Linked DNA regions of Elephas maximus indicus. The protein of the gene in region 3 purifies or fractionates together with the protein of the main gene of each other region. This does not show direct contact. Links are inferred from orthologs where the notes say so. Each region holds a gene or a part of one and is shown on either strand. Other genes may lie near its edges. The genes, in order: CCT8, CAD, ILK and ATP2A2.

What was found.
Region 1: the proteins of ILK (region 3) and CCT8 purify together in Homo sapiens (affinity purification with mass spectrometry; 4 studies listed by BioGRID and IntAct, with this or other methods). This does not show direct contact. The link is inferred for Elephas maximus indicus from reciprocal best matches to the Homo sapiens genes ILK and CCT8.
Region 2: the proteins of ILK (region 3) and CAD purify together in Homo sapiens (affinity purification with mass spectrometry; 4 studies listed by BioGRID and IntAct, with this or other methods). This does not show direct contact. The link is inferred for Elephas maximus indicus from reciprocal best matches to the Homo sapiens genes ILK and CAD.
Region 4: the proteins of ILK (region 3) and ATP2A2 purify together in Homo sapiens (affinity purification with mass spectrometry; 3 studies listed by BioGRID and IntAct, with this or other methods). This does not show direct contact. The link is inferred for Elephas maximus indicus from reciprocal best matches to the Homo sapiens genes ILK and ATP2A2.

What each region holds. Positions count from the first base shown.
Region 1 is NC_064836.1:32,734,961-32,741,846, reverse strand, and holds the start of CCT8 (T-complex protein 1 subunit theta), read right to left. Parts: upstream 3,020-6,886; 5' UTR 2,920-3,019; coding exon 2,860-2,919; intron 1-2,859. UniProt on the Homo sapiens protein: Component of the chaperonin-containing T-complex (TRiC), a molecular chaperone complex that assists the folding of actin, tubulin and other proteins upon ATP hydrolysis.
Region 2 is NC_064830.1:45,716,014-45,723,449, reverse strand, and holds the start of CAD (CAD protein), read right to left. Parts: upstream 3,018-7,436; 5' UTR 2,867-3,017; coding exon 2,785-2,866; intron 2,544-2,784; coding exon 2,404-2,543; intron 501-2,403; coding exon 371-500; intron 1-370. Other genes in the region: ATRAID (all-trans retinoic acid-induced differentiation factor), read right to left, coding at 3,461-3,565, 3,774-3,871, 4,149-4,270, 4,374-4,445, 4,640-4,711, 6,573-6,694, 7,357-7,436. UniProt on the Homo sapiens protein: Multifunctional protein that encodes the first 3 enzymatic activities of the de novo pyrimidine pathway: carbamoylphosphate synthetase (CPSase; EC 6.3.5.5), aspartate transcarbamylase (ATCase; EC 2.1.3.2) and dihydroorotase (DHOase; EC 3.5.2.3).
Region 3 is NC_064825.1:60,261,519-60,268,870, reverse strand, and holds the start of ILK (integrin-linked protein kinase), read right to left. Parts: upstream 3,004-7,352; 5' UTR 2,912-3,003; intron 2,531-2,911; 5' UTR 2,439-2,530; coding exon 2,350-2,438; intron 1-2,349. Other genes in the region: RRP8 (ribosomal RNA-processing protein 8), read left to right, coding at 3,230-3,328, 4,602-4,968, 5,388-5,841, 5,935-6,064, 6,255-6,361, 6,444-6,540, 6,764-6,883. UniProt on the Homo sapiens protein: Scaffold protein which mediates protein-protein interactions during a range of cellular events including focal adhesion assembly, cell adhesion and cell migration.
Region 4 is NC_064840.1:8,905,764-8,913,171, reverse strand, and holds the start of ATP2A2 (sarcoplasmic/endoplasmic reticulum calcium ATPase 2), read right to left. Parts: upstream 3,010-7,408; coding exon 2,892-3,009; intron 2,270-2,891; coding exon 2,252-2,269; intron 2,167-2,251; coding exon 2,084-2,166; intron 1-2,083.

The DNA.
Region 1 (6,886 bases), on a different chromosome or scaffold from region 3:
TACTCATCAAAACATAATATCTACATATGTTTTTAAGGTAGTGAAAAGGCAGTGTGGGGAAGAGTACAAGATCGATCACAAAACATGTTTCAGGAAGAACACCTTTTCAGAGTTTATCTGTATTTTCTAACCACAGGTTGAAATGTGGTATGGACATTTTCCTTACTCTATTAAGAGCCTAGGCTTTACGGCCAGTGGGAATTCCCACTCATAAAGTAAATGAAGCTAAATACCTGCCTCCAAATACTTAGGCGCTAGAGCACACAGGCTTCTGAATGGTCTTGTAATTACAATTCCAAAGCACGCAAACTGAAAAACTGGTGAAATGGTGGGAATGCTAAAATTCTGAAATTTTACACTGGACTTTTTCAGAGCTAGAATTAATTTGGGGCCTCAGATAGGCTTTATGAGCTTCCTGCAGACCTGAGCATTTTTCTAGAGCCGCAATGTCCTAAACAGTAGCCATTAGTCACACACAGCTATTTAGGATAAATTCAGTTCCTCAGTAGTACTTGTCACAGTGCAAGTGCTCAGTGATCACATCTGGATAGTGGCTATCGTAGTGGCACAGATATAGAACATTTTCATCATCGCAGAAAGTTCTGGACTGTGTTGTTCTAGACATTAAGGCATAGCTTAAAAAATATTCATAGAAGGAGCTGTGATTCAGAAAAGCTTAACAACCACTCCTTCAGAAGTTTCTCCAGTGAAAAGAGCGGGACTCCTACAGCAGCAGTCAGTCTGACCCCCAGGCTTCCTCTCTTGCTCTTTTCCCTCACCCTCATCCTGGGAAACAAGGTTTTTTTTGTTTGTTTTAAATCATAAATCAGACCCCATCACTCCCGTATTTAAGACCCTTCTATGGCTTCCCATCACTCTGAGAATAAAACCTAAATCTCTCTTTAGGGCTACAAGGTCCAACAAGACCTCACCCCTGCATACCAAAACCTGTTGCTACTGAGTTGACTGGGACTCATAGCGACCTAGTCTTTTCTGGATATTCTGGTATATTTAGTTTTCCAGGTGAACTTATTCTTTTGTCAGATACCTCCCCAAACCCTGTTGCTTCTTGAAGTTCTTAAAAGTCCTATTTTTGAAAGTTGAATTGACAGACCCTGTAGGACAGAGTAGAACTGCCCCATAGGGTTTCTAGGGCTGTAAATCTTTACAGAAGAAGACTGCCACATCCTTCTCCCACAGGGTGACTGGTGGGTTCAAGCTGCTAACCATTTGGTTAGCAGCGAGCACTTAACCACTCTGCCACCCGGGCTTCTTGCCCTGGCCTACAGCTCCTCTACATACATCTATCATTTGTGTCTACCCTTGGTAAGCTTCAGTCCCATCATCCTTCTTACTGCTCTTTTAACAGGTCAAATTAATTCCATCCTCAGGGTCTTTCTACTTCAACACTCTCCCATCTGATCTTGGCTGGTCCATCCTGTCAACTCAGAACTAAGCTAAACATTCTTCCCCAAACATCTCATTTGTTTTATTTGCCCCTGACCCTTCTTTTTTTAGGGAGGCAGTTTTTTTGTTTGTTTAATTTCTGTCATTCTCAACTACAGTACTATTTGTTTTCTTCAGGCAACTATTTAAAATGTTGTTGTTTATTTGATTATTTCTTCCCCAAAAGAATATAAAGTTTAAGAGAGCTAAGATTTCTTTCATTGCAGGCCCTCAAGTCCCTATTTGTTGAATGATTATCTCACATACAGCAGTCTGCAGAAAACTACTAGCATCTGAATGACATTTAAATAAGGTTTTGTGATACAGAACAATTTTCCAAACCTGTATTAATGAAAAGTGCTCATCCTGATTTTTTACGGAAGCAGCCACTGCCCATTTCAGCGAACTTGTTTCCCCAACGTTTACATTATACACTGACATTACTACACCCAAGTTATCCTCAAAGCACATCCTGCAAGTAGTAAAAACCTAGCTTTCTAAAACTGTTAGTGCCCCTTTACGTCCCATAAAACCTTAAATTCAACCTCACTGATCTGTATTTCCTTAATTAGGCAAAGAAAATGTGGGAAACGAGTATCAGAACACCATTATTCCAACGTTCAAGACCTGACCATAAGCCAAGATAATTTTATTTGGGTCAGAGTGTCAGTTATCTTGCGGGTTACACAGGTAAGTCACATGGTTAGAACTCAAAGGTACCGTCTTCTGGTCCCATCTCCTCAACTGAAAGACGAGGAATTCAAGACTCAGAGGGACAAGTTCTACACCAAACTAGCTCACAGCAGTTGGGGCCAGACCCCACTTGGATTGCATGTAATGTCTGTCCTACTCTAACACCTGCTTCTACAAGCGAAAAGCGACAGAGGGGAGCCCTCCGTTCTCCTGTGGAAAGAGTCAGCCAAGAACTGGTCCTTGTTCTACGCTCTCCTCGTTGCGTCTCCCTCCCCTTGCTCTTTCCCATCCTATAACCTCGAACACTACGCCAAGAGCTGTGCGTGAACCGGCTTCGCGGACCCAAAGCAGTTCTCACCCTCACAATATCCTGTAAAAGTGGAGAGCCAAATTAGCCCCATTTTACGCATAGAGAAAACGTGCACCAGGACCTCTGCGCTCGCCCAGCCAAGAAGTGAACGCAAATGCCGGCCTCGACCCTCATCTGCCGTCCCTGCCCCTCCGCCCACCTGCCTTTCCCCGGGCCGGGGAGGGACTGAAATGCCCGCGGACCGATGGGCTGAGTCCTACTGAGCACTCCTCCCTTTCTGGAATCTTCTCCAGCCCCGCGCGCGGCGCCGGGGGAGCGTGTCCGGCCCGTTACTAGGCCCTTCTCCTTCGCTAAGGTCGCCGCAGCCCCACGCTGACTCCCCCACCTGACCCTCTTCCTCCATCTCTTACTTTCGCTCCTTCCTTGAGCATCTGGGCAAAGCCCGGGGCCTTGGGGACGTGAAGCGCCATGCTCGGTCTGCACAGAGCCGCTCACGCGCTCACTCGGCTGCTCCCGGAGGAAGCGAGGGGCGCGCACAGCCTTCTGGGAGTGCTACGAGCCGCGGCCTCAAGCTTTCAGTCGCTCCAGTTGGGCACGCCTCCTCTCCCCTGCGTAATCCTCAGCCGACAGCATCGCGAGAGCGAGGGCAGCTCCCGCAGCCAGAATCGAGCAGACGATCTTCGATCAAGTCGATCAATCGGGCGGGTGGCAGGCCGCGCCTTCCGGTCAACGCATGCGCAAGAAGCCTAGGCCGTTTGAATCCGAGCTCGTCGTGCTGTTAGGGTCGGCGGGAACGTTTGGTTTTCGTTGGTTCTGACTTGGGAACGCCCCCCTCCCAGGCTTAATTTCCCAGACCCAGCCACCAACATCAGGGCAGGTGTGCCTCTTCTTTCCAAGGCAGAGCACCTGTTTGTATATATATATATGCATGTATGTATATATAACATAATTGAGCGTCGGCTCTGTGCTGGGCATTGCAGGAAGTGCTGGGGACGTGAAGGTGAAGATTAAATTCGTTAATGAACGTAGCATTGTATCAATGACTCATATATTCCACGCTCTGTTATTTGCTTTACGCACAGTATCTTAGTTAACGGCCAGTCTTAACAAGTTAACTATTTTCTCCATTTAATAGAAGGGGAAACTGAAGTTCACACATGGCAAATGATTTCCCTGAGACCACAAAGCTAGTAAATGTTAAAGCCAAGATTCCTACCCAGATGAAAAAAAAAAAACCCAAAATGCATGTTCTCAACCACTATCTATATTCCCGTTTTCTACTTCTTCCTGCAAAAATAAATCCCTTTTGTTGTCGTTGTTAGTTGCCCTCGAGTTGGCTCTGACTCATGGTGACCACCTGTACAACAAACTGAAACACTGCCTGGTGCTGCACCATCTTTAGGATGGTTGATATGTTTGAGTCCATTGCTAGGGGCCACCGTGCATTTTAAGAGTCTTCGAGCTGGCAAAAACACGCTGGACTGCTAACCCAGCTGGTCCGATGGAGAAAAGACCTGGCAATCTGCTCCTGTAAACATTACAGCCAAAAATACCCTATGGGGCAGTTCTAGTCTGTCACAGTTCTACTAGGAATCGAAACTGATTCCATGACACAGCAACCAACCGAGGGAGTTCATTTTCTAGCATTATATTGGACAATAATCTGTTGTGATCCATAGTATTTTCATTGGTTAAGTTTTAGATCATCGGGCCTTTCTTCCTAGACTGTCTTAGTCTGGAAGCTTTGCTGAAACCTATTCACCATGGGTGACCCTGCTGGTATTTGAAATACTGGTGCCAATAACTTCACAAAACCTAGAACTGCCCCATAGAGTTTCCAAGGAGCGCCTGGAGGATTTGAACTGCTGACCCTTTGGTTAGCAGCCGTAGCACTTAACCACTATGCCACCAGGGTTTCCGCTATAACTTCATAAAAAAAAAAAAAAAAACTTCATAGCAACATGCAAATCCACCACAGTATGATGAACCGACAGACAGATGTTGGAAATCCCTTTTACACTCCTAACCAGTTGCCATGCAGGCAACTCCAACTCATGGCCAGCCCATGAGTGTCAGAGTAGAACTGTGCTCCACAGGGTTTTCAATGGCTGACTTTTTGGAAGTAGTTCGCTGGGTTTTTCCTCCAAGGTGCCTCTAGGTGAACTCAAATTTCCAACCTTTCAGTTAGCAGCAGAGCACGTTAACCATTTGCACTACCCAGGGACTTTTACTCTCCTAGAATCCTTTAAAACCTGATCTCTGAATCTTCCCACATCATCTGATTTAAAAAGATTGAATAAGGGAGAGCTATTTCTTTTTTTTTAATGTTTAGGAAGTAGTGAGGGTTTATGGTGAAATTTGGCACTGATTATAATTATTATAATTGATAGCACTAAACTGTGTACTGAATGTTGAATTGACAAATGTGTTATTTTTTTACAACAATAAACAAAGACTGAATGATAATAGAGTTGCCAGGTGATGGTCACTTTTACGTGGCCTTTCTTGTCATGGTCTTGTAACTCCCACCCAAATGATTGGGTTGGACTTTGCAAATAAAGGAATTGTGGCCCACCAAGGGGATTGGTCAGTTTTGCCATCCTTCCGGGCTTAAAAAGAGCCATTCCAGGAGAGAGAGGAGAGGATCTTACTACCACCTAGGAAGAAGAGCCAGAAGCAGAGCGTGCCCACTGGACCCGGGATCCCTGAGCTGGGAAGCTCCTGGAACCAGGAAACCAAGAGAGAGGGCTGTAACATTGAAGTCAGGGAGAAGTGATGGCAGAGAAAGGGAGGCAGCAGAGCCGAGAGACTGGCGTTGAAGACAGTGGAATAGTAAAGTCATGCTAATGTGGATAATAAGCTGTGTGGTTTTAAATGGTTTCAGTTGTCACTCCTAACACTTTTTTATGGTGACAAAGAGGATTGTTTCCAGGTGATCTGAATTTCCTGTGAGCTGAGCATCAGGGTTGATGTTATGTTCCAGATGTTGTTCTTGTTGTTAGGTGCCATCAAGTCAGTTCCCACTCATAGCGACCTTATGTACAACAGAACGAAACACTGCCTGGTCCTTCACCATCCTTACAATCATTGTTATGCTTGAACCCATTGTTGCAGCTGCTCTGTCAATCCATCTCGTTGAGGGTCTTCCTCTTTTCTGCTGACACTGTGCTTTGCCAAGCATGATGTCCTTCTCCAGGGACTGATCCCTCCTGACAACATGTCCAAAGCATGTAAGACGCAGTCTTGCCATCCTTGCTTCTAAGGAGCATTCTGGTTGTACTTCTTCTAAGACAGATTTGTTTGTTCTTTTGGCAGTCCGTGGTATGTTCAGTATTCTTTGCCAACACCACAATTCAAAGGTGTCGATTCTTCTTTGGCCTTCCTTATTCATTGTTCAGCTTTCACATGCATATGAGGCGATTGAAAGCATCATGGCTTGGGTCAGGCGCACCTTAGTCTTCAAGGTGACATCTTTGTTCTTTGACACTTTAAAAAGGTCCTTTGCAGCAGATTTGCCCAGTGCAATGCACCTTTTGATTTCTTGACTGCTGCTTCCATGGGTGTTGATTGTGGATCCAAGTAAAATGAAATCCTTGAGAACTTCAATCTTTTCTCCTTTTATCATGATGTTGCTCATTGGTCCAGTTGCAAAGATTTTGGGGTGTGTTTTCTTTATGTTGAGGTGCAATCCATACTGAAGGCTGTGGTCTTAAATCTTCATCAGTAAGTGCCTCAAGTCCTCTTCACTTTCAGCAAGCAAGGTTGTGTCATCTGTATAAAGTAGGTTATTAATGAGTCTTCTTCTAACCCTGATGCCCGGTTCTTCATATAGTCCAGCTTCTTGGACTATCTGCTCAGCATACAGATTGAATAGGTATGGTGAAAGGATATAACCCTGACGTATACCTTTCCGGACTTAAAACCACTCAGTATCCCCTTGTTCTGTCTGAACAACTGCCTCTTGATCTATATACAGGTTCCTCATGACCACAATTAAGTGTTCCAGAATTCCCATTCATTGCAATGTTATCCATAATTTGTTATGATCCATGCAGTCGAATGCCTTTGCATAGTCGATAAAACACGGGTAGATATCCTTCTGGTATCCTCTCCTTCAGCCAGGATTTGTGTTACTTCAGCAATGATATCCCTGGTTCCACTTCCTCTTCTGAATCCAGCCTGAATTTCTGGCAGTTCCCTGTCGATCTACTGCTGCAGCTGCTTTTGAATGATCTTCATCAAAATTTTGCTTGTGTGTGATATTAATGATATTGTTCAATAATTTCTCCATTCGGTTGGATCACCTTCTTTGGAACAGGCGTAAATATGAATCTCTTCCAGTCAGTTGGCCAGGTAGCTGTCTTCCAAATTTCTTGTTATAGATGAGTGAGCACTTCCAGTGCTGCATCCGTTTGTTGAAACATCTCAGTCGATATT
Region 2 (7,436 bases), on a different chromosome or scaffold from region 3:
TGATCTTATTGTGGTCATGTTTTTAAAAAGAAGACTCCTTGTCTTTCAGAGATAGATGAACTATTGGTGGATGAAATGATACAAAGTCTGAAATTTGCTTCAAAATAATCAGGGAGTGGTAATGGTGATGATGAAATAAGATTAACCAAGACTTGATTATTATACTATTCTCTCCTTTTATGTTTGAAATCTTCCACCTAAGTGATAGCTTCTCTGGCCCCAGAAAGCAATCTAACCCTTCTAAAAAAAAAATTTTAGATCGGGCATATTCTATCACAAGCTTGGACTGGAGTCTAGGAAACCTTATCTTGATCCTTTCCATCCAGGCATACTGTGCTCCGCCGAGACACACGTGTGCTTGCCATCATACCTTGCAGGCCAGGTATGCCATGTTCCTGCAGCCACTCATGCAGAGTGCAGGTGGCACTCCAGTGGCTGGGCGTGGGGCAGCACTCTCCTACCACCAGTCCTGCCACGTGGATCTCTGAGGATTCAAACCACTGTAGATGGAAGGAGGAGACTGTGAGGAGCAGCTCAAGGCCAAATATCTCCCTCTGTCACTTTTACCCATCTTCTCCCATTACGTGGCCATGGGCCCTCTATTTCAGTTACACTGTATCATCTTCACCACCACCCAGCACTTCACAGCTCCCTTTACCAACAATACCATCCCCCACATTAAACATTAACACATGGAGTGTGTCTTTGTCACAGAACCGTGAACTCAAGAGCAAGGTGCCTGACACATAGCATCAGTCAACAAACATTTTGAGTCTTCACTAGGTGCCAGGCATTGTAACAGATGCTGATAGAGCAGTGAGCAAGAAAAGATAGGGTCCAGTCTTCATGATGTTTATTTCCTTCGTACGAGCAGAAAATTAACAAGTCGACATGTAAACTAACAATAATTACACAGGTTATACAAACAAGGTGCTAAGATAGGTAGGTGCTCGATACATTACTAAATAAAAGCGAAGGCTCAAGTTACAATACTGTAAGTGATTATACCTCTCCACTCCAAAAGGACTAATTAAAAAAAGAAGAGAATACGAATTTGTTAACTGATCAACAAGCATTTAGTAACTAAATGGAGAAACCAGTAGTTTATTTGGGAAGTAGTGGCATATTTAAATTCCATTCTGCTAAATGGTAAAAGGTTTAAGGGAAGATGGATGTCGAGACTGTTCTTTAGGAATCTGAAGGATAGAGTTTGGCAGATGAGTAAAAACAGCCCTCCCTGACAAGCGAAGTCCACCTGGCATGGGCAAGTACATTTACAACACATGTGCTACAAGGGCATTGGCGTTGGGTTGGTGGTTGCGGAAGGTCTCAATCTCTCTGGTCTAGCCAGGGCCACAATTTTAGAGGTCTGTAAACTCAATTCTGTCAGTGTGCCTAGAGCTGATAGAGCTGAAGGCTGATGTATGTTAACCAAATTCACAAAATATTGAATTAAAAGTTAAGAGTGCAATGTATTTATAGGTTTGTGATAACAAATGGGCCTTTCCAGGAATAACAGTGTTCGTTATCCAGTCTTTCCAGCGTCAGGGTAACCTGGAAGGCAAATCTAGAATCTAATGGTCGGTTGCTCAGTAAGCCTGGAATCATGGACAAAATGGGTTTTAAGGAATACTGCTATGTTGACTTCCACTATTATCCCAATTGCTAGTTTTTTTACTACTTTAACTCAGAGGGCATCTTGGTTTCCAATTCCAAAGGAGAAAGAATAGTGGCAACCTCACTGAACTTCAAGAGGAAACTGAACTTTCTTACCTAGAGGTAAGAACACTACAGAAAAGAAGTAGAAAATGAGGTAAGGAAAGTATGTTTAGAAGATTGTAACCAACTTTCACTGGTTCTGTAGGTGAACTGGGACCCAATGTCTCTGGAAAAAGATGTGATCTTGGTTTCCAGCCCCCTTCCACTAATCTATGCAATCCTGAAGCATTGCTCCCATCATGTGACTCTTGTTAAACAAGCTCCGAAGGGTCCTTATCAGATCAAGATTAGACGTTGGTTTGACTTCATTCCTATTGTATCTAACCCATCTTTGCGTTACTTCTGCATTATTCTTCTACACTTTTTGCCACTTTCCTTGATTCATGTCTTCACTGTTGTTTGTTGTGAGACCTATGTCTCCACTACATACACAATATTCTGGACTTTGCCTATAGCCTTGGTGCCCCTAACAAAGAGGGGATAGCTCTCTCCTCCTAGGCTCCCACCATGCTGAGCTTCTCAAAGTATCTACCAACCCAAGTTTAACTACAGTCACCTCAGTACTTATCACTTCAGTGTTTATATTTGTTCTCTCCAGGTTGCCTGGCAGAGTGTCAATGTCTTCACTTCACTAATAATTATTGATTTGAAAAAGAATGTAGAGAAAGCATTGGGCATGGCTACCTTGCTGAGACCGAACTCATCCACTTCATCTGGGGGGATGCCATAGTTGCCGATCAGAGGATATGTCAGGACTAAGATCTGTGCTTTGTAGGAAGGATCAGTGAGGGCCTCGGGGTAGCCCACCATGCCGGTCTGAAACACTGCAAAAAAGGGACAGGGAGAGGGCTCCGCAGGGTACCCTCCAGAACTCCGCCCCGGGCGAAGAGATGCCCCCGTCAGGGTACGCTGCCATGGGCGTGACGGGTGGTAAGGGCAGGGCTGGGGACCTGGCGGCAGAACGCGGGGAGGGTGTGCAGGCGGGAAAATGGCGGGGTCTGGGCAGGGAAGGCAGTGCGGAGATCGGAGTGGGATGAGGTCGGCAGCCTGCCCAAGCTTGCTTACCCACTTCCCCGGCAGTCGAAACAGAGGCCCCAAAGGGCTGGCCCCGCAGGACCGACCCGTCCTCCAACACCAGGGCCGCCATGGGAACGGCGCTTAGAGGCAGGGCCGAGCACGGACAAGCGGTGGAGCGCCGCAAGCCCCAGCCGGCGCTGGAACCACGTGAAGACGACGCGCCGGGAATCGGTCCACGTGGCTAACCGCGCCGGTGCCGGAGCACAGGCGGGCGTGGTCCGCGCAGCAGCCTAGCGCGCCGGCGGCCGGGCGTCTGCGGCGGCGCAGGGAGCCGGCGGCGTGAGGGGCGGGGCCGGGCACGCACGGGGCGGGGCCGGAGCGGCGCCGCGGTGGCTCTGCGCCGCGAGACCGCGGTCTCCTCCTCCCCTGCAAAGGCTAGGGAAACCCGAAAACACTGACTACCCCAAAGCGGCCTCTTACATCCCAACCAAGAAACACACTGAGGCAGGGCAACTTTTCCTAAAAACAAACAAACAAAAAACCACATGACAATGACAAGGAAAAAAGTGTTTATTATAGTCAACAACACAAACGGGAACTGGTACTCTACCCCTGGAGAAGGTGTCCACAACACTTGAGAATAGGGCAATTTTCCATCTTCCTTCCAACCTCGTCCTCGGCCTGGATGACGCCTTAACTAGGTCACTAGGGGGACCCATGTGGTTCATGAAGACTTGGCTTTTCGGCGTTGGGTCCCCCACAGCAGAATGCAGATGGATACCGTGGTGGATCCCAGAATCCCGAAGAACACAATTAGTGAGAACGAGCCCTGTAAGTAACAGTCCAACAACTCTCATTGAGCATTACACTGAAGGCTACAGCCTAACACCTAGTTCCCTGTTAGTACACTTGTTCCCTCATTCAGGACAATTCTAACTTTGCTCCCCTGGGTGACGTGCATTAGCTTCCGGTCTTGTGGCTCTTCTTTGAGACAGGTTTCTGCTCTATGCTTTTTTCTCTAAGGCCTCATTCCTCACCTGGCGCATACACTTGTAGCCATGGAAACCATCAGCGCAAAGACACTGCAAGAGACCTGGACCATTAGGAGCACAAGATCCATTCTCAGGACACATTTCTGGCAGCCAGAGAAAAACAGAGAACATCACTGGATCTCATCAGATAAATTTCTTAAATATCTGCTTCAATTCAGGTTCTCTCAATCCTTTGTAGATCAGTGGTAAACATCACTATAGATAATCAGAACATAATGACAATATATTCTAAAACTTTTTTTCCCAATTAGAGCCTCAGAACTCTGAACAAAAGGCACCTAAGCAATTTTAGTCTTTCTGATCTAAAATGAGTAAGAGAGGAAAGGCAGTTGCCAGAAGGGCAGAGATGAGACAGCATACCTGGGCTTCCAGTGCTGTTGCAAAGGTTCCTTTGCCCTTGGCAGGTTTGCTTGTCTGTGTGAGTGGTGATAGTATTCCAGGCACTAATACCTCCAGGACAGCTGACATTTTGTGGCAGTATCCTGAAGACAACACAGGTTGTCATAATATATTCAACCCAAAGTCGCTGAGCTCACAGCACTACTCCTCTTATTCTCTCCCCTAATCCCCACACCCTGTACTTACAGAGTCTGGAGCTGAGTAAAGCCATGGAAGGTGTTAACCAAGTCATCCTTGAGGGGGTTTGCTTGCAGGTCTCTGCAAAGCACACACTGTTAGCATTCTGCTCAGGACAGCACCCATCTCCATTCACACATCTTCCTAGACTGGTAATCCAGAGTAAACTTAGACATTAATACTCATCCATCTTTTTAGGAGTCCATCCCCAAAGACTGTCTCATCAACCCTTTGCCATAGTCATTTTCTGGGAGGGAGGGGACCTAACCACTTACATGATGATAGCAGTATGTGCCTGAGGGAAGTTTGGACCAGGGTCCTTCAGAGAACAGTTTTGGAGATCCAGCCTGAGGAAACAAAGTAATCAATGTAACTGTATGTCCTTCTTCTTCATTCATGACAAGGTTTGTATTTGATACCCAACTCCCTTTTAGGTTATCAGTATAAATTGAAAACAGCCTGTGTGAGAGCCACATACTCGGTGCTGTGGTAGATGTTGTAATCCTGCATTGTCCAATACAATCATCACTACCTACATGTAGCTATGTAAATTTAAATTAATTAAAATTAAATTAAAAATTCAGTCTCTCACTGGCACTGGCTACACCTCATGTGGTCAGTGGCTACTGTATTGGGCAGACAGATATGGAACATTTCCATCTTTGCAGAAAGTTCTAATGGTCAATGCTGTTCTAATAAGTACTATGTCCTGTCAGTTCACATCTGTACACATATTGGATTCACATCTGTACACATATTAGAAGAAATTTATTCCTTGTCTAGATTAGTGGATCTCATATTATGGCATTACGAGTCTCAGATCCAAAAAGGGCTTTCGAATAAAAAAAAAAAAAAAGATGCAAGTCACATAAATGAAAATTTCCTCAAAGTACATTATCTATCACAGGCTGGATATAAGCTCCTGGACGTTACGGACCCATGCTGCAATTATTTTGTCTTCAATATCTATCACTTTTCGTTCCTTTATTCTACAAATATGTACTGTATGCCTACTAATTGCAAAACATTGGGAAAGTATATATATTTATACACACACATATAAAGTCTAACTCAGTATCTTAGCCTTCAAGTAGCTTACAATTTAGTAGGGGAACAAGAAAATCACCAAAAACAATATAAACGTTAAATTACAATATGAAAGAAATAACAGTACAGCGTGTAAATAAATTTGAGTGGTACAGACACTAAGTATTAGAGGAAGTCAAAGAAACTATTACTCTGGGATTTAGTAGTGGGAAACATTCACAAAAAATGCTAAAACTGAAGGATGGCTATGTCCTAATTTGGTGAAAGAAGGTAATTCCAGGTAAAGAGAGAGGCTCTCCAAAACAACAAAGAAACAAAAGTAGAATGCCTTTGTAAGTGAATCTGGCTGAAGCCAGACCCTCACTGGGGGTTTGACTGGACAAATAATTGGAAATAATGTAGGAAAGGTGGATTGTGACCAGTCTGTGGTAGGTATCAAATGTCTAATGCATGGTTTGAACTTTATCCTGAGAAAATAGTTATAAATATGGTCTTAAAACCAAGAGAATGGTAATGGAAAAATTTGGTTTTGGGGAAGTTCGAAGTGAAGGTGAAGCATTCCAGATGAAATGTTTAATAATAAGTTGGAAGTACCCATACGTACCTGGAGCTCTGAGAGGTGTTAAGGACACTGAGAGAACTAGTTTTGGGAGACACCTACGAGGTGGTTATAGCTGAAGCCATAAGAATAGGTGGATTCTCCAGAGTGTACACGGAGAAGGGCGGAGGGTCAAGGAGTGAATCTGAGGGACTAACTAGTATAAGGGACAGTGAGGGGAATTTGCCTCAAACACGAATTAATCACAAGGGGAAGAAAACTGTATTAGCATAATGTCTTGGAGAATAACTGGAGACACTCAGTGAATAATACAAAGACTTGATAATAAATAAAACAAAACCGGAAGCATAACAGCTTATCAAAAAATTTTAAAAAACAGGTAAAAATTATGATTTTTATGCAGCTTTAACCAGAAAAAACTATAGGATTGTTTCCTAGCCAAAAATGATACACAGATTTAAAAGTATGAGAATGAATCATGGTTTAAAAGGTGCCGCCAATATAGGCACGAATAGTTATGCCAAGTCTATCAAACAAGCCTTGTGGACTCTGTTCTGAAAACTCCCCCGCCCTCCCCTATCCAAGGATGTGTTCTCCCTCACCCCAAGATGGCGCCCTTCTGATTGAAGCAGCAGCGGGCATACAACATTAGCTTCGGGGTCTGCTTACAAAACAGAGCCACTTCGGACAAATTTTGCACACTCCCTGGGCACTGGATGCATATCTGTAGAAGAGAGAAACCTATTAGGACCCCAGAAAGAAAAGTCAAGAACAGAACGGCGATCCAGAGTTAACTGCCAATATACCTCTCCTTTTCTCTAACAAAGGGCGGGGAAGTGGCTCTTGTCCTACCTTTTATCCGGTTGGATAGGGGATATCTTTCTTTCCCTAGAGGCAAAGCAGCGCATCAAACACTTCCATTACCAGCCCTCTCCAAGAAAATACTTTCATCTTTGAAAAACAGTATTCGACCATATTTATTATGCCCTCTCCAGTGACTTCTCAATCTGACAGCTCCGGTTTGACCGGGTGTATAAGAACAAGAAGGTACACAATGAACTCATCGAACATTCCGGAAAGTAAAGTCCTGCCCACGCACGAAATACTGCATTCGTGCGCGCACAGCTTACAGAAGAGCCACAAGACTGCTCTGTTAAAAGACAAGCTTCAAGCTCTTCAAAAACTGAGTGAGGAGGTCAAATTTCAAGTCTTTAAAGGTAGGCAGGGCGGGGGCGCCAGGAGGCGTGCGAACTCCGGAGCCAGGCCCGGGAGGAGGCTTCAGGGACGAAATCTGAGCTGCGGGCCGGCTGGGGCAGGGCGTGCGAACGCTATACACCAGCTTGCCCGCAACTCCGCTTCAGTCCGACCTCTGACTTGCTTCGGTACCTCGGGTAGCGCCAGAGCCCTTTCCACCCCCAGAGCGAGGAGCAGGGCGGTTGCACAGAGCACCAGGCTCGTAGGACCGC
Region 3 (7,352 bases):
AGAAAATGAGAACAGCTGCTTTGGAAGGAAAACTATACCTGACTTTTTTTTTTTTTTTTTTCCCTTAAGGGCATGTATTTTACAAAGGAAAAGAAGTATACAAAAAACAAAGCAATTGGGTGGGAGCTGGGCCTGCCTGACAGGCTGGGGCCATAAAAGGAAATTCCCTCCAGTCCCAGGCTGCAAACCCAAGGGGCGGGGCAGGGGGCGGGCCAAGGTCTGGGCTAGCAGCCTCCAGATGCCTTAGTGTTTCAGTCACTTCCCATCGGGGGCTCTAGGCGGGGCCTGGAGCTTGTCAGGGGTCTAGCCACCCTGACACACAAGCAGCTGATGGGGGTGGGGACTGCCGCCTCTAATTTACAGATCTCCTACAGCTTGCCTTCATCTGCTAACACAGCTAGCCAAAAGTTTTCCTGGGAGGTGGGTATCCACCGGAAGCAATTGCAACCTCCTGCTTATCAGTCTTGCCTCTCAGTTCCTTAATTTGTGCCCTGACTTATCAGCCTGCAGCAGTCTGTGGCCCCAGGGCAGACCAGCCTGAGGGCAAAAGTATGGGCACAAAGGCTCTCCCCAATGTCCAGTTGCCCGTCACCTCAGGCTCTGGATTTCCTATCCCAGAGATGCCTGCAGGAAATTGTCCCTCCACCCCCTCATACCCAGCATATATCCAGCTTGGGCCCCCAGACCCTGTCCCCTGAAACCAGCACCAAAGCCTTCTAGTTTCCCTAATGCCACTGTACCTTTTGGCAGAAGAGTCCTCCTAGATGCCTAAGCCTCTGTTTGTTCAAGAAAGTAGGAATGGTGCTTACTGTTTTTATCAAGCACCCTCTGAGAAATATGAAAAATGGAACAAGTGTACTCTGCAAATTATGAGGGAGAAATTGTATAAAGTCTAATGGGAACCAGTGAAGCTTAAACTAAGATGACTGGTGATCCTTACCTTTCAAATCTTAACATTACACTCCCCCAACTTTAAAAAATAAATTATAATCCCCACTGTGAATCGCCATCACTACTGCCATCTCAGCCAGTTTTAAAGAACTTGTTTACATTTACATTCACTTTATTTCCACACCTCCCATTCATTTTTTAACCTGCCACAGGTTGGCCACCTTGAGGGCAGGGATCAAGGGATCTGACTCTGGGTTTCCCGAGCCCAGCACAGGAAATGTTCAGTACGTTTCCTTAAATGAATGAACCCAATATAGTCCACTTTATTTTTTCTCTGAAATGGCTCTCACCAAAATCATCAAATATATCCTAATTGCAAATTCAACAGGTAAAGTTATTTTAAAGCTGCCTATATTATTGTCACACTGCACTACTGTTGACCACTCCGCTTTCATTGAAACATTCTCTGAGCTTTACTAACACACTTTTCTTTTTCTCCTTCAATCTCTGGTTGCTCCTTTTCCGTCTCCTTGCAGGCGTCTCATCCCCTGCCGTCTTGTCTTCCACTCTTCCAAGGCTCTTTCCTTCACACACATCTTCAGTTATTATCTATACGCTAATATCTACCAAATCTGTGCCTCCAACTCTGATCTCTCCTGAACACAAAATCTGCATAACCAATAACCTACTGTTTTGTCACCTTAACACATGCAAAATGGTACTCATCATCTTCCTTCAGTCTTCTCCATCTCAGTAAAAGGAACCACCATCTACTAAGTGTCCAAGCCAGAACCCTGGTTATCACCTATGACCTTCCTCACTTCCCACAGCAAGCACCACCAATTCCTCACCCTAAAGATTTTTGGAATCAGATCACTTCTGTCAGGCGCCCCCATTCTAGTCCAACCCATTGTCACTTCTGGAATAGCTTCCTGATACGCATTCTTGCCTGTGCTTCATAAAGCATCCAAGATGATACTTAACAAATGGGCAATCTCATCATATTACTACACAGCTTTAAGGGTTTGCTCTTAAAGACCTTATTATGCCCTAAATATCTTAACACGATCTGGCTAACCCCTGCAGTCCTCTCCAGACTTATCTCCTATCATTCTCCTCTTGTATCCAACGCTGCAGCCCACAGAAACAGTATTCTATCCTCCAGCCATATGGAACTCCAGAAAATTTCTTGTAACTCTCAGCTTTGTGTCTTGCCTCCCTGCCTTCGCCCATGTAGTTCACTGAGGCTGGAATGCTCTCTGCGGCCTCTGGCTGTGAAACTCATTCAGTTGTTCGAACACTGCTTCTTCCGTGGAGACCCTCTGCCCTCCACAGCTGTGCTTAACACTCATCACACTGGATGGAAAAGTTGGCCACCTCCGCCAGACATGAGCACCCCACGTCGGGGAGAAGGGTAAGACTCTGGCCATCCTCTCCCCACCAGCCGCCTGAGCTCACCCCTGGTTGAGGTCGTTCTCCGTGTTGTCCAGCCACAGGCGCACCGCAACCGCGTTGCCTTCACGGCACTGAGTGAAAATGTCGTCCATAGCAGCGTCCCGGCGCTGAGTGCCCTAGATCGGGTAAGCCTGGGGACTACAGCGTGACCCAGGGGAGAGGGGTGAGCCCCAACCTTTGTCCTCTACAAGACAGAAGTGTTTCTGTTGGGGGCGGGCGTCTGGGCGCTGCGTCCCCGGCTTGTAGGGGGTCAGGAATGGGAATTTAGTGCAATGGGATGATCCCCGACTGTGTCCACTGGGCATGAGGGAAAGGCAAGTCCGGGAGGGGAAGGAGATAGGCGCTGGTGTCTGCCGAAGGGATATCGGAGGGCAGGCACGGAGACACCACCCGCGAACAGAGCTGGGGGCGGGGGCAGGAGTGGGGAGGTCCGGGCACCGTACACCCGGTAGGAGGGGATCCCCGCGTATGGACCCCATTCCCTCCCGGGAATTCAGACGGAGTGAGGGGTCACGGGCTGGTGGGCCTGAGTGTTGGGGAGGGGCGCGGGTAGCCCCGCACTCACCGGGACTCGGGCTCGAGGCGCCTTCTCCGGGGAACTCCCGTCCGGCCGCGCCCGCCACCCGGCCCCGCCCCGCCCCTGGCCTTAGCGGGCCGGCGCGGGCCTCCCTCCCTCCCTCCCTTCCCGCCCCTCCCTTGCCCTTCTAGCTCGCTAGTGTGGAAACTCGATGGTTTTCGGCGCTGCGCCGGCCGCTCTAGCTGCCCCTGGCTTTCACTCTTTGGTTCCCAGCTTCTGCCCGGCTGGTGTAGGCACTTTGACTCCGGGAGACGCTATCGCACGTGGAGGGACGCCGGGCACCGCGACTCTGCCCTCCTGGCCCTCATGTTCGAGGAGCCCGAGTGGACCGAGGAGGCCCTAGCAGCCACGGCCTTCGGGCCCGTCGCCGCAGGGCCCCGGCCCGCGGCAGCCGTGCGTATCAAGGTGAGTGGCCACGCAGGGGCACTGGGACCTGTTTTGGGGCGCCAAAGCATTAGGGAAATCCCAGCGCCAGGGGCACACCAAGTGTGTATTGGGTGGGTAGGTGGGCCCAGCGGCACCGTTTGAGGCGAGTTCTGATTGAAGATCCGAAAACATTTAAGAGAAAATGATATTTGAGCTAAGTGATGAATAGAAATTTAAGCAAAAAGGGTTCCTTAGACCGGGGGGGGGGGAGAGGGGGGAGCACGTGCAGAGGTCGTGGGGCAAGAGCTTATGACCTGTTAGGGCCCACCAAAATGATCCGTGTGGTTGGAGCACAGAGAGTAAGTGAGAGGGGATGATGTTTAAGTTGGAGAGGTGGAAGTTTTGTATATTTTAAGTGCAGAGAGAAGCCAATGAAGTATTTGTAACAGGGGAGCGATTTGTTCAGATTTGCATTTTGAAAACATCACTGGTTACAGTGTGTGGAGAATGGGTTGGAGAGAGCAAGAGTTTGTGACATAGGGCTATGAGTATTATGATTAAAGGGGGTATGGGTGGGAACTAAGAACCTCCAAGGTAAGTGCCTGGTCTAGGACCACCCAGCAGGACTTCAACCCAGAATCAGCCTCCCCCACTAAGGCCTCCACCTTTGAGCCTCTACATATGTGCCGGCTGCTGTACTTTCTCACCCTCTTACTTCCTGTACGCTTCAGTGTGCTTCTAATATGAAATCTGCATGACTGACATCTGCTTATTCCCTTTTCATCTCCTCAGCTCATTGCCACAATCCAGATCACTGTTCTCTTGCCTGTACACTTGGAACAACCTTCTCACTGGTCTCTTTGTAGGTTTTCTCTTGACACTGCAGTTAGAGGCATCTTTAATGCGCACATCTGATCCTGTCACTCTTGTGCTCAGAAACCTGTGGCTCCCTACTTATTATAGAGTGGTATCATCAGCTGGGGACAAAAGCCTGAAATTGAGAGTTGGAACTCCTGGTCTCTGGCCTTGGGCCCTGTTGCTTGTGGCCTGAGCACATTCATCTAGGGAATTTCCATTGCCTCATCTGCACATTGAAGAAGGAGGAGTGGGTGGTTTCTCCACTCTCCACCTCCCAAGGTTTGGGACTAGGAAATGAACATTCTTCAGGGTCTTGCAGGCTTCCCAACTTAGCTGACTGGGAAGAATCCAGATATCTCTGCCAGTGCCTGAATCAGGCTCCCACCTCTCCCTTCTTACACTCCAGAACTCATCTATCCTCCTCACCCCACTCTCATACCTTGCTTACCCCAAGGGCTCCAAGCACCGCAAGCTCTTGGCCACCTTACGGGCCCTGGAGGCTGCATCTCTTCCCCAGCAACCCCCCAGCCTACCTGAAAGTGACTCTGAAGAGGAGGAGATAGAAAGGAAGAAGAAACGCCCCAAAAAGGCCTTGTTTGCTAGTGCCTCTGCTGAAGTAAAGGAGAAAAGGAAGAACAAACATCAAAAACAGGCCAGGTCTGGGAGTGACTCTGAGGATGAGGAAGTGGAAAGAAAGAAGAAAAGCTGCAAACGGGCTCTTCTTGGCAGTGAGTCTGTTGAAGAGGAGAAAAGAAAGAGGAAATGCCAGAAACAGGCTCCTTCAAGCAGAGCCCAGCACCTGGATAGTGTTGACCAAACAGGTACTCTTGGATATGTACATATATATATGGGGGGCAGGGGAGGGCAGGGAAGATCAGCTGATCCTACGTGTGACAGAGGCTACCTGTCACCATTAGGACTGGGGTTAGCCAATAAGAAGTACTTTCATCCAGGCCACAGTCTCTGTCTCAAGGGCAGGCATATCAGGGGATATTGAGTTTATGTTAATTGTGGTGCAATAATTCAGGAAAGGATAGTGACAATGGTTGTACAACACGAAGAATGTAATCAGTGTTGCTGGATTGTACATGAAGAAACTGTTGAATTGGTGAGTGTTTTGTTGTGTATACTTTCACCACATTAAAAAAAAAAAGACAGGCATATGGCCAATGTGACTTGCCAAGTGTCTGCTTGCAGAGGATCTTGCCTCAAATACACCTTCCCATTGCCCTACCTGCAGGTTCCAAAGTCCAGAAGGGTAGTGCTGCAGATGACCCACACAAGCCAAGCCCTGGGTCTGCTTCCCCTCAGTTACCCCATACCTTGAGCCGTAAGCAGTGGCGGAACCGACAGAAGAATAAGCGGAGACACAAGAACAAGTTTCGGCCACCTCAACCGCCAACCCAGGCTCTGGCCCTGGCTCCCACAGAGGAGGCAGAGGTGCCTCCTCCTCCCAGGCCAGACGGCTACGAGGCTCGGGCGGGAGCTCTGCGAGCCCGCATGGTACAGAGGCTGGATGGCGCCCGATTTCGCTACCTCAACGAACAGCTATACTCAGGGCCCAGCAGTGCTGCACAGCGCCTCTTCCAGGAAGACCCAGAGGCCTTTCTCATCTACCACCGTGGCTTCCAGAGCCAAGTCAATAAGTGGCCCCTGCAGCCTGTGGACCGCATCATCAGGGATCTTCGCCAGAGGTGAATGGGGGTGGGCACTGTAAGAAGTGATAATGGGTCAGTTATCATGGGCTCTGACCAGGCCAGTGAGCGACCCTTCCCTTCCGTTCCCAGGCCTGCGTCTCTGGTGGTGGCTGACTTCGGCTGTGGGGACTGTCGCTTGGCTTCGAGTATCCGGAACCCTGTGCATTGCTTTGACTTGGCCTCTCTGGACCCCAGGGTCACTGTGTGTGACATGGCCCAGGTAAACTCATCTGTGTATTTGGACTGTGCTCTAGGTCCATGTGCTCATCTCTTTAAAGCCCTCCTCCTCCTAACCCCCCGCCCAGGTGCCCAACCCTAGCACCCAGTGCTGGCTTTCTCCTCCTCCCCACACTGTGTGCCTGCCCCCATTTGCCCAGCTGCATGCTTCATACAGCAGTCTCTCTCCACAGGTGCCCCTGGAGGATGAGTCTGTGGACGTGGCTGTGTTCTGCCTGTCACTGATGGGAACTAACATCAGGGACTTCCTGGAGGAGGCAAATCGAGTGCTGAAGCCAGGGTAGGAACCCTGTGGACACAGATGCATATATGTGTGTGCATGCGCGTGTCTGCATTTACACAGAACTCTCCATCCCTCTCAGGGGTCTTCTGAAAGTGGCTGAGGTCAGCAGCCGCTTTCAAGATGTTCGGGCCTTTCTAGGGGCTGTGACCAAGTTGGGCTTCAAGGTCATCTCCAAGGTAAGTGCCCTAGAAAGTCTATTTTTGTTTTATGTGCAGCCCTTTCCAGGGGAGTGGTGTACAGGAAGGAGGCCATAAGCACAAGAACAGACATTTGCTCTCTGAAGGCACAACTCATGGGGTAGCCCTGGGAAGCTTTCTGAACAGGGGTGGGAGATGGAAGGAGGTATTTTGAGCAGCTAGGATGAGGATTTAGAACTTACTGGATCTTTTCTGCCCCTAGGACCTGACCAACAGCCACTTCTTCTTGTTCGACTTCCAGAAGACTGGACCCCCTCTGGTGGGGCCAAAGGCTGAACTCTCAGGCCTAAAGCTTCAGCCATGTCTCTACAAGCGCAGGTGACTGCTGGACCTCCCTTGAAAGGGGAGGCAGGGTTCAAACTCCTGGCTCAGAGCCCTGAAAACTGTAGCCAGCCAGGCTGTGAGCTAGGACCTGATGTCACCCTGCCCCATCCAAAGAACAAAATGTGATGAAGGCCCTGGCTCGGCCCCTGATCTAATGGAGGCTTCCTCGGTTGCAAGAAGCATGAAGTCACTCAGACTAGCTAAAGACTAAGGGGTTTATCCCGAGACTACAGGGATGTCCAGGAATCATGGATCCCTTTAGGCGTCATGGAAACTACATGGTTTGGAATTCAGGGCATCTCTGGGTTTAGTTTTCTTTTTCCATCTCAGGGGCCACATGGACTTTTTCTTGCTGTCTCCACTCCTCTCTTCAGATCTTCTCTCTGCAGACCAGCGCCTCTGCTCACTCACAGCTGCTGTTCTTTCAGCTTTGGTCTGCCCAGGCCTTCAAGGCTGTGACAGGTGTT
Region 4 (7,408 bases), on a different chromosome or scaffold from region 3:
CCACAAAAAAAAGACTCAGGGGCTTTCTTTTGAAAGATAAAGATATGAGGAGTGAAAAGGTCAAGTACAATAAAGCAGTGCCAGCCTCACAAGAAGGAAATCAACAAAACAGATTTAACACCCACAAATTCTTGACCAAACAAACCAAAGCAAGGCAAATTTAAGTGATTTCTATAGTAAAACTACTTCCTAACACTTAGTATTCATTTGTTAATTAGCAACCCACAAAAACAGAAACATAACACTGCTCTTTCCTGAACAATAACTCCCAACTAGTTACCACAAACGTAACTCAAATTTCAAATCCAAAATATAGCTCTAAAAAGCCAACGTCCTACTTCACAGCAAACTTAAAACCCATTTGAAAATGCCTAGAAACTATTAACACCTAATAATGACTTCAGAGTTAAAGAACCACCCAAACAGCCAGTAAATACTTCATTGTAACATCAGCAACATTATTTCTAACACTGCTTTAAGTTACAACAGACAGAATAACTTGGCAACAGTTTGTTGAACCCTAATTGGACCCTATTATCTGCCAAAGTGAACTGAGACTATTTCAAAATTATGTAGCCTACTTAAATATAAATATTATACTAGCCCAAATATGTCACTTGTTTTGCCCGGTGGCAACGTAATACAGCTCCAGTTAATCGAACAGGTCTACTCAATTTATCTCATTTGATACAGCAGCATTTACCGGGGGAGGGGAGGAAATTTTTAAAAAGATTAAATCAAAAACATACACACAAGAGATATGGAGTGATTCAGTATGCTAAACGGTTTGCTATGCGATGCTCTCAATTTTATTCAATGAACACCACAGAAAAGACTCTAGTATGGGGATGGTGAATTATTAATGGCTACATATCACTTGGCTAAGTAGACAGAATTTACGTACAAAATCACACCAGATGTTCACCTCTTGACACCCTCTACTTAAAAAAACGAAGATAAAAGCAATCCTTTCCCTCACCTGAACTAATTAAATGCCCACTTCTAGTTTATTTAGTTCTCAAAATAGTCCTCTATCCATGATTGTCACAGACTGAGATAGATCCCTGGGGCTTGCATACGTACATACAAAAATGAAACCTTCAAGCTGCGTCAATTTTGTGAAGCCAGAAAAAAGTACCGCCTGGATGAATTTCACTTCCCATCACGGTTTTCGTAAGAATAAAATGCTGTAACTAATTTAAAAACAAAAGGGATCTCAAGCTTTGAGGATTAGGAACATCTGTGTCCTGCTCACGAACGTTTTTAGGAAATCTACCAAAAAAGTGCATGGCTCAAAAAAAAAAAGCAATACAAAATTAATAGTGAACAGAAAAAAAATTAATAGCCTAGAAATATCCTCTCATACCGCCCCCCCTCAAACCTTTCTATTGTAGTTCTTTGCATTTCACCAGTTTCTTAGCAACCGTACAGGACTCCAGCCGGTAAGCACATACAGAACAAGAAAAAAACCCTATGCTGGGTTTTTTTCTTTTAAGATTCAGAACCAATGTACTGAATCTAGTTCTCTCAACCCAGAAGTCACTCAAGACAGGGGTCCAATTTAGATAAATATACCATCCTAAAGGTCAGTGACCAAATTTGGTCAACAGTGGTGCCATCACTGCCGTCATCATTCTTGTCACTCTCAGGAACAACTGTCACCTTGCCATTACCAGGAAGGGAAAGCAACTAGAATATTCCTTTTGTAAGTTCTATTTACAGTTGACGAGGCACCAGACAGCATCTTAGTACGATCTTACAACATAACAATGGATGAACCCAAAAAGGCCTCCCAATGAAGAACTTTTTGGTAGTAAAACAAAATTTCTAAGACCCTGCCACATTTGGGAACAATTTCTAATTACATTGTAAACATCAAGCATCTATTAATATGTACTGCACACGAATGGCTTCAAGTGTTTTGCTTATAACCTGAAAATCTCATGTTTCTTTTTTTTTAAACATGGAGACAGCATAAATCTCTAAGTTTTCCTCCAATGGACACCACTGTTTTCTGGCTTTTCATCTATGGAATATCCTCAACTTTTGGGGGGGGAGAAGAAATAAATTTCTTTATACTTACAAAAGATATACATGCTGCCAGCAATAAAATTCTAACTAGTAAGTCTTCAAACTGCTCAATCACAAGTTCTAGCAAGGTTTTTCCTGTTAGAAACAAACATACTTGTTATAATTGTCATCTTAACACCAGCACACCAAAGAGGGGGGGGGGCCTTTTAAGATGACTTACCTTCTTCAGCCGGTAACTCTGTAAAATGAAGAAATTCGCCAAGCAGCATGTCGAAAGAGGGCAAGAAAAAAAAAATTTTTAGTACTCTTGCCTTTCTGAAAAGAACTGCTAAAATTATCAGCACCTCTGTCTTTGAAAGAAAGACCTAGATACATGAACAATCTTTTTTTTTTAATATGAAGCATACTAGAATGAAATAGACAATAGTTTTTAGGGGCCTTATGTCTAACCCGAAGGAGGAAAGCATCGCGGCGAAACTGGCCTCCTGAAGGAAGGAGTCGTTTCAGCTATGTCATCACTTCTTCCAGATGTGTAACTTCGGGGAGTACGAGAGCAGAGGCTTTCCCAGCGGCAACGCCGCCCTCAGAAAGCGGCGCGGGACGAGAACACGTCTCGCAGGGCTCGGCCCTCCCTCCAACGGGGCCACCGCGCTAGCTGCGCGCCGGGAAGGTCAAGAGCTCCGGGCGCCAAGGGTCGAGCCCGACGGGGCGGCCCGCCGCAGCCCCTCTCCGGGGCCGGGCCCTGAGCCGCCCTGCAGACCCCGGCGGGCGCCCGGCCGAGCCCCACGCGGCGGAGCCGGGTCAGCCATCTTCCCTGGCGCTCGGGCCCACGCGGCGCCCGCACCCGGCGCGGCACCTACCGTTGGAGCCCCATCTCTCCTTGAGCTTCTTGACCTGCTCCACGCTCAGCCCCGTGCTCTCGTTGACGCCGAAGTGGCCCAGCACCTCCTCCACCGTCTTTGTGTGCGCGTTCTCCATGGCGGCGGGGGCCCGGCCAGCCTCTTCTCGCGTCCCCGCGGCCTCCTCGCCTCAGACTCGCCCTCGGGCCGCCGCCGGCTCGTGCCACCCCGGGCGCCCAGGCGCGCGCTGGCCGATCGCGGCCTCTCCCCCGCCTCCTCCTCCGGCCGCTTCCGCCTCCCGGGCGCTGAATCACCCCGCGCCTCCTCTCACGACAACCTCCCCTCTCGAGGCCGGTCCGCGCCGGCGCCCGCACTGGCGGGCTGGGGGCCCCCGGCCCTCCGACCCTCGGCAGAAAGGAGGGCCTCCTTCACCCTCAACGGCCCGCCGGCAGCGCAGGCCGCGGCCCCCAGTGCTTCCCGCTCTCCTGAGGCGATCAGCCGCCCCGCCTGGGCCGCAGGAGGGGACGCCGGCGGACCCCTGAGAGAGCTGAACGGAGCGAGGGAGGCGAGCCAGCGGGGTGGTGTGCGGCGCGCTCGCCCTGTTCCCTCAGCCCCGCACCCCCGACAGCGGCGGAGCGAACTGCGGCGGAGGAGAATGAGGTGGCGTCGGGGACGGCTCCGCGGCGGCTGCTCTAATAGCATTTATCCGCTGCTGCCTCCCCTCTCGCCGCCGCCGCGGCATGTGGACGTCGCTCATTGGCCGAGAGCGCCCAGCGCGGCGCGGGCGGCGCGGCCCCGCCCCCTCCCCGCGCGCGGCTCCCTCCCTATCGCGCGCCTCGCGCCCACGCCGCCGCGCAGGCCCCGCCTCCTCCGCGCGCCGCCCAGGAACCCGGATCGAGGCCGGAGCGCGCCGCTGTGCCCGCGCAGTGCGCGCTGCGGCCCGAGGGCAGAAGCGGGATGGCGGATAGCGCGCCCCGGCGTCTCCTCAGTCCTGCGGCTCCCGGCCCGCGCTTCTCCCGCAGACGCAGAACCCAGGGTGGCAGAGTGTGATTGGCCTCGGGGGCCTCCCTCCGTGCACTCGCGGCCCCGAGGAAACGCCCTTCGGGGCCTACTTCGGCCAGGGTGGGTGGCCGGGAAGGCGAGGGCGAGGCCGAGGCGCTCGGTCCACGCTGGGCTTCCCCAAGGCGCGCTCGGTGGTGCTCTCGGCTCGCGGTCTCGCCTCTGTCTGCAGGACCGCGCTCTGGGTGCTAGTGCGTCTCCCTCAGATCCCCAAGGAGCCGAGGGGAGGAATTCCGCAGCTTTCTTCCCACACGGTTCAAATTCCTCATCTGTCGCCTCAGGAACGCCGCAACCCACGTCCCCAGCCGGGGCGCCACCGCACGCCGTATCAGCCCTTCTCCAGCGGGCTCTGTACCCTGACAGGGAACCCCAGTCTGAGGGAGGGGGAGGTTTTTTATTTGTAATAGCCCATATCGCCTGTGATGCATGTCTGCATAGAAGTTACAGGCTATGCTACCGTAACTGCTAAATTGCAGCTAGGATTGCGTCGGATGCTTGGCTGGGACTTGAAGAAGATGAAGGTGATTTTCTAGACTCCACTTTCCCCAATAGAAGGGACTTCGTTCCTAACGCTATTCTTAAGTCACAGATAATTTGTTTCTGGGGTCTGTACGAAGCTTAGGTACAAGCAAGATAAAAGAAATTTCGACAATATAAAGAAATTCCTACTTAAAGGGACGGACCTTTGCATTGAATTTCTGAGCAAAACTGAACATACTGGCTTCACAAGGAAGGGAAGCTTTCTTAATGAAGCGTATTTCAGAAGGAAGCATTTAGGCCACTTAACTGTTTGGCAGTAGTGTACCGTCTGCATGAACAAAAGCGGAGCAAAAAGCACCTCAGCTGTCCTAGACAGCTCAGCCTCAGGACTTCAGATAAATTCCTTCAGCAAATGCAAATCATAGTATATTACCCCAGTGAAAAAAACAGGCATGTCATTTCATTTCATTATTTCCAAGGAGTGGAGGCTGGCGCGCAGTTCTGATTGATACTTGGACCAAAAAAGCCCTACACGAAACAAGAAAAAAAAGTGCTCGCGTAAAGCAGTGCACTGAAAGAACAAGGTAGAAACTGGTTGGGTCACAGGATTGAAGCCTCTTGCAGGAAGCACGTGACCATCGTTGGGGATGTGGTGATAGAAGGCTGGTGATTCTTGTCCCTGGACACCAGGTCTGCGCCGCCATTTCTTACCGATTCTTCAGCTTCACCTCCCTCAGCACTGATAGAAGCACCACAGGCAGGAGGATCAGTACCTCTTCTCAGCCTGGAAATTATCTTGGGCATCTGACTTTGGATCTTCATTCTGTGGTCCGGACTCTACATGACAGTTGTAAGCGCCTCTGGGCAATCATGAGGTTCTTGAGGGGCTCCTGACCCACCTCAGCCCTTTGTACTGGAAGAACCGGAATGGTGGTCTTTCAGACCTGCACATGCCTAGTTCCATTTTATCATTCAGAGCTCAGCTTAAACATCACCTTCCCAGAGAGGTCTTTGATGACTACTCTATCTGAAATGGCTACCCTCCCCAGGCACCCTCTATGACATTATTCAGTTTTGTTTTCTTCACAGCTCTTATCCCTGATTTTGCATTTTTGTGGTGCTGTTTGCTGCCTATCTCCCCTGACTAGGATATAGGTAAGCTCCATGAAAAGATGTTGGCTGTCTCATCCATCCTCAGTACCCAGAGCGGTCTCTGGTATACACTCATCAATTACTGAGTGCCTACTATTGGAATGAATGAATGAGTCCCCCCATCCCCAACTGTTCAATGGCTTGCAAAGGGCATTGCCCATGGGAGGGCCTCAGGGAAGTTTTGCTGAGCCAAAGATCACTGATTTCCAATTTGTGAAAAATAGGAGGAACTCTGAACTACTTGCCTCATAGGAATGGTTATGAAGGTTCATCAGGTTTAAAATAAACAAAAGCAAAGCTAGACAACATTATAGGTTTCTCAGAGATGAGTAATGTTTAAGTTCACATTGGTACTGCTACCACATTGCCATCACCCTCCTCGGCTCGGCTGTTCTTCACAAGTATTTTTTATCTCCTGTAGGCTGGATTTTTCACCTAGGGTTGCCCCCTTCTATATTATCATACCAATTATTACGCCCTTGGAGTCCCTGGGTGGTGCAAATAGTCAAGGGCTTGGCTGCTAATAGAAAGGTCGGAGATTCAAGTGCACCCGGAGGCACCTTGAAAGAAAGGCCTGGCAATCTACTTATGAAAAATCAGCCATTGAAAATCCTATGGAGTACAGTGGTACTCTGACACGCATGGGGTTGCCATAAGCTGGAATTGATTCGCTGGCAAATAGTTTGGTTTTTTTATTATACCCTTGATTTCTCAATCTGTTGATATCTCTGAATTGGAATATTGAAGCATGTTTATAGGTGGCCAAATTTACCATAAACCCAGCCTCCCATAGGCAGATGGATCTAGTTTCTCTTATGTAGAAGTAAACTTGTGCTCAATATATTTCATCTATTGAACTACACTTGTTTCTTCTTAGCAAGGTTAAAAACAAGATTGGATTGTATAAATATTCTCTTTTTTCCACCAAGGATTCCAGCTATATTCAATAAATTGAGGACAGGGAGAGAAAAGAAGAAGGGAACCTGTGATTCAGAAAGACAGATGATTTAATCAAAGAACTTCAAAGGCATCAATAAAGGGGGACAGAAGCTGGTCAGGCAGCCTGGTTTAAAAAGCTAGGGAGACAAAAAGAGTGACTTGGAAATGAGAGGCTCCAGTCAGCTCCCCAACCTTCCATGCGCCTCCTGTAAAGTGATGGAGATTGCAAAAGGCAGCCTGTTCCGTACTGGGACCACTCTAAACAGTAAAGCAGTCTCATTCTGGGCCAAATATGAATATACCTCCCATTAACTTCTATACATTGGTTCTTGTTTAGCTCTCTGGAACCACTCTGAATAACTTTAATTCTTCTATGTGATATCCCTTTCAAGATGTCTATTGTGCTAAAAGTCTCTTTTCCCAGCTGAAAAAGAGCAGCTCAGTCCCTGAGTTGTTCTTCCTACAGCATAATTCTGCTGCCTCTCAGCATCCTTGTCATCCAGTACTGCAGATGCCCACTAACGGACACAAAACTCTGGACAGTTATCACTACCCACCTTCTGGATCCTTTCACCTGCACATGGTTGATCTGTGTTAACAGTCAACTCAAAACAGAGTCCTCTGTATGTGAGCTGCGGACAGGTTAAATCTTCTCAGCATGTACTTGCTTTGTTAATTCTTTTTAACCCAGATGAAATTTTGCCTGTAATTGAATGTTAGCAGGTTCATATTGGCAGTATGTTGTGGTCTTTTGGAGTCTTCATCTCTCAAGAGATGTTTTAGCTATACCTCCCAGCTTTGGATTACCCACAGATTTGATCAGCATGCCTTCTATGTCTTTATCCAACAGAACTTCTAGAGAATCACCCAGATTGAAAAGAACTAATCAACTGGATCTAATTGTTCAA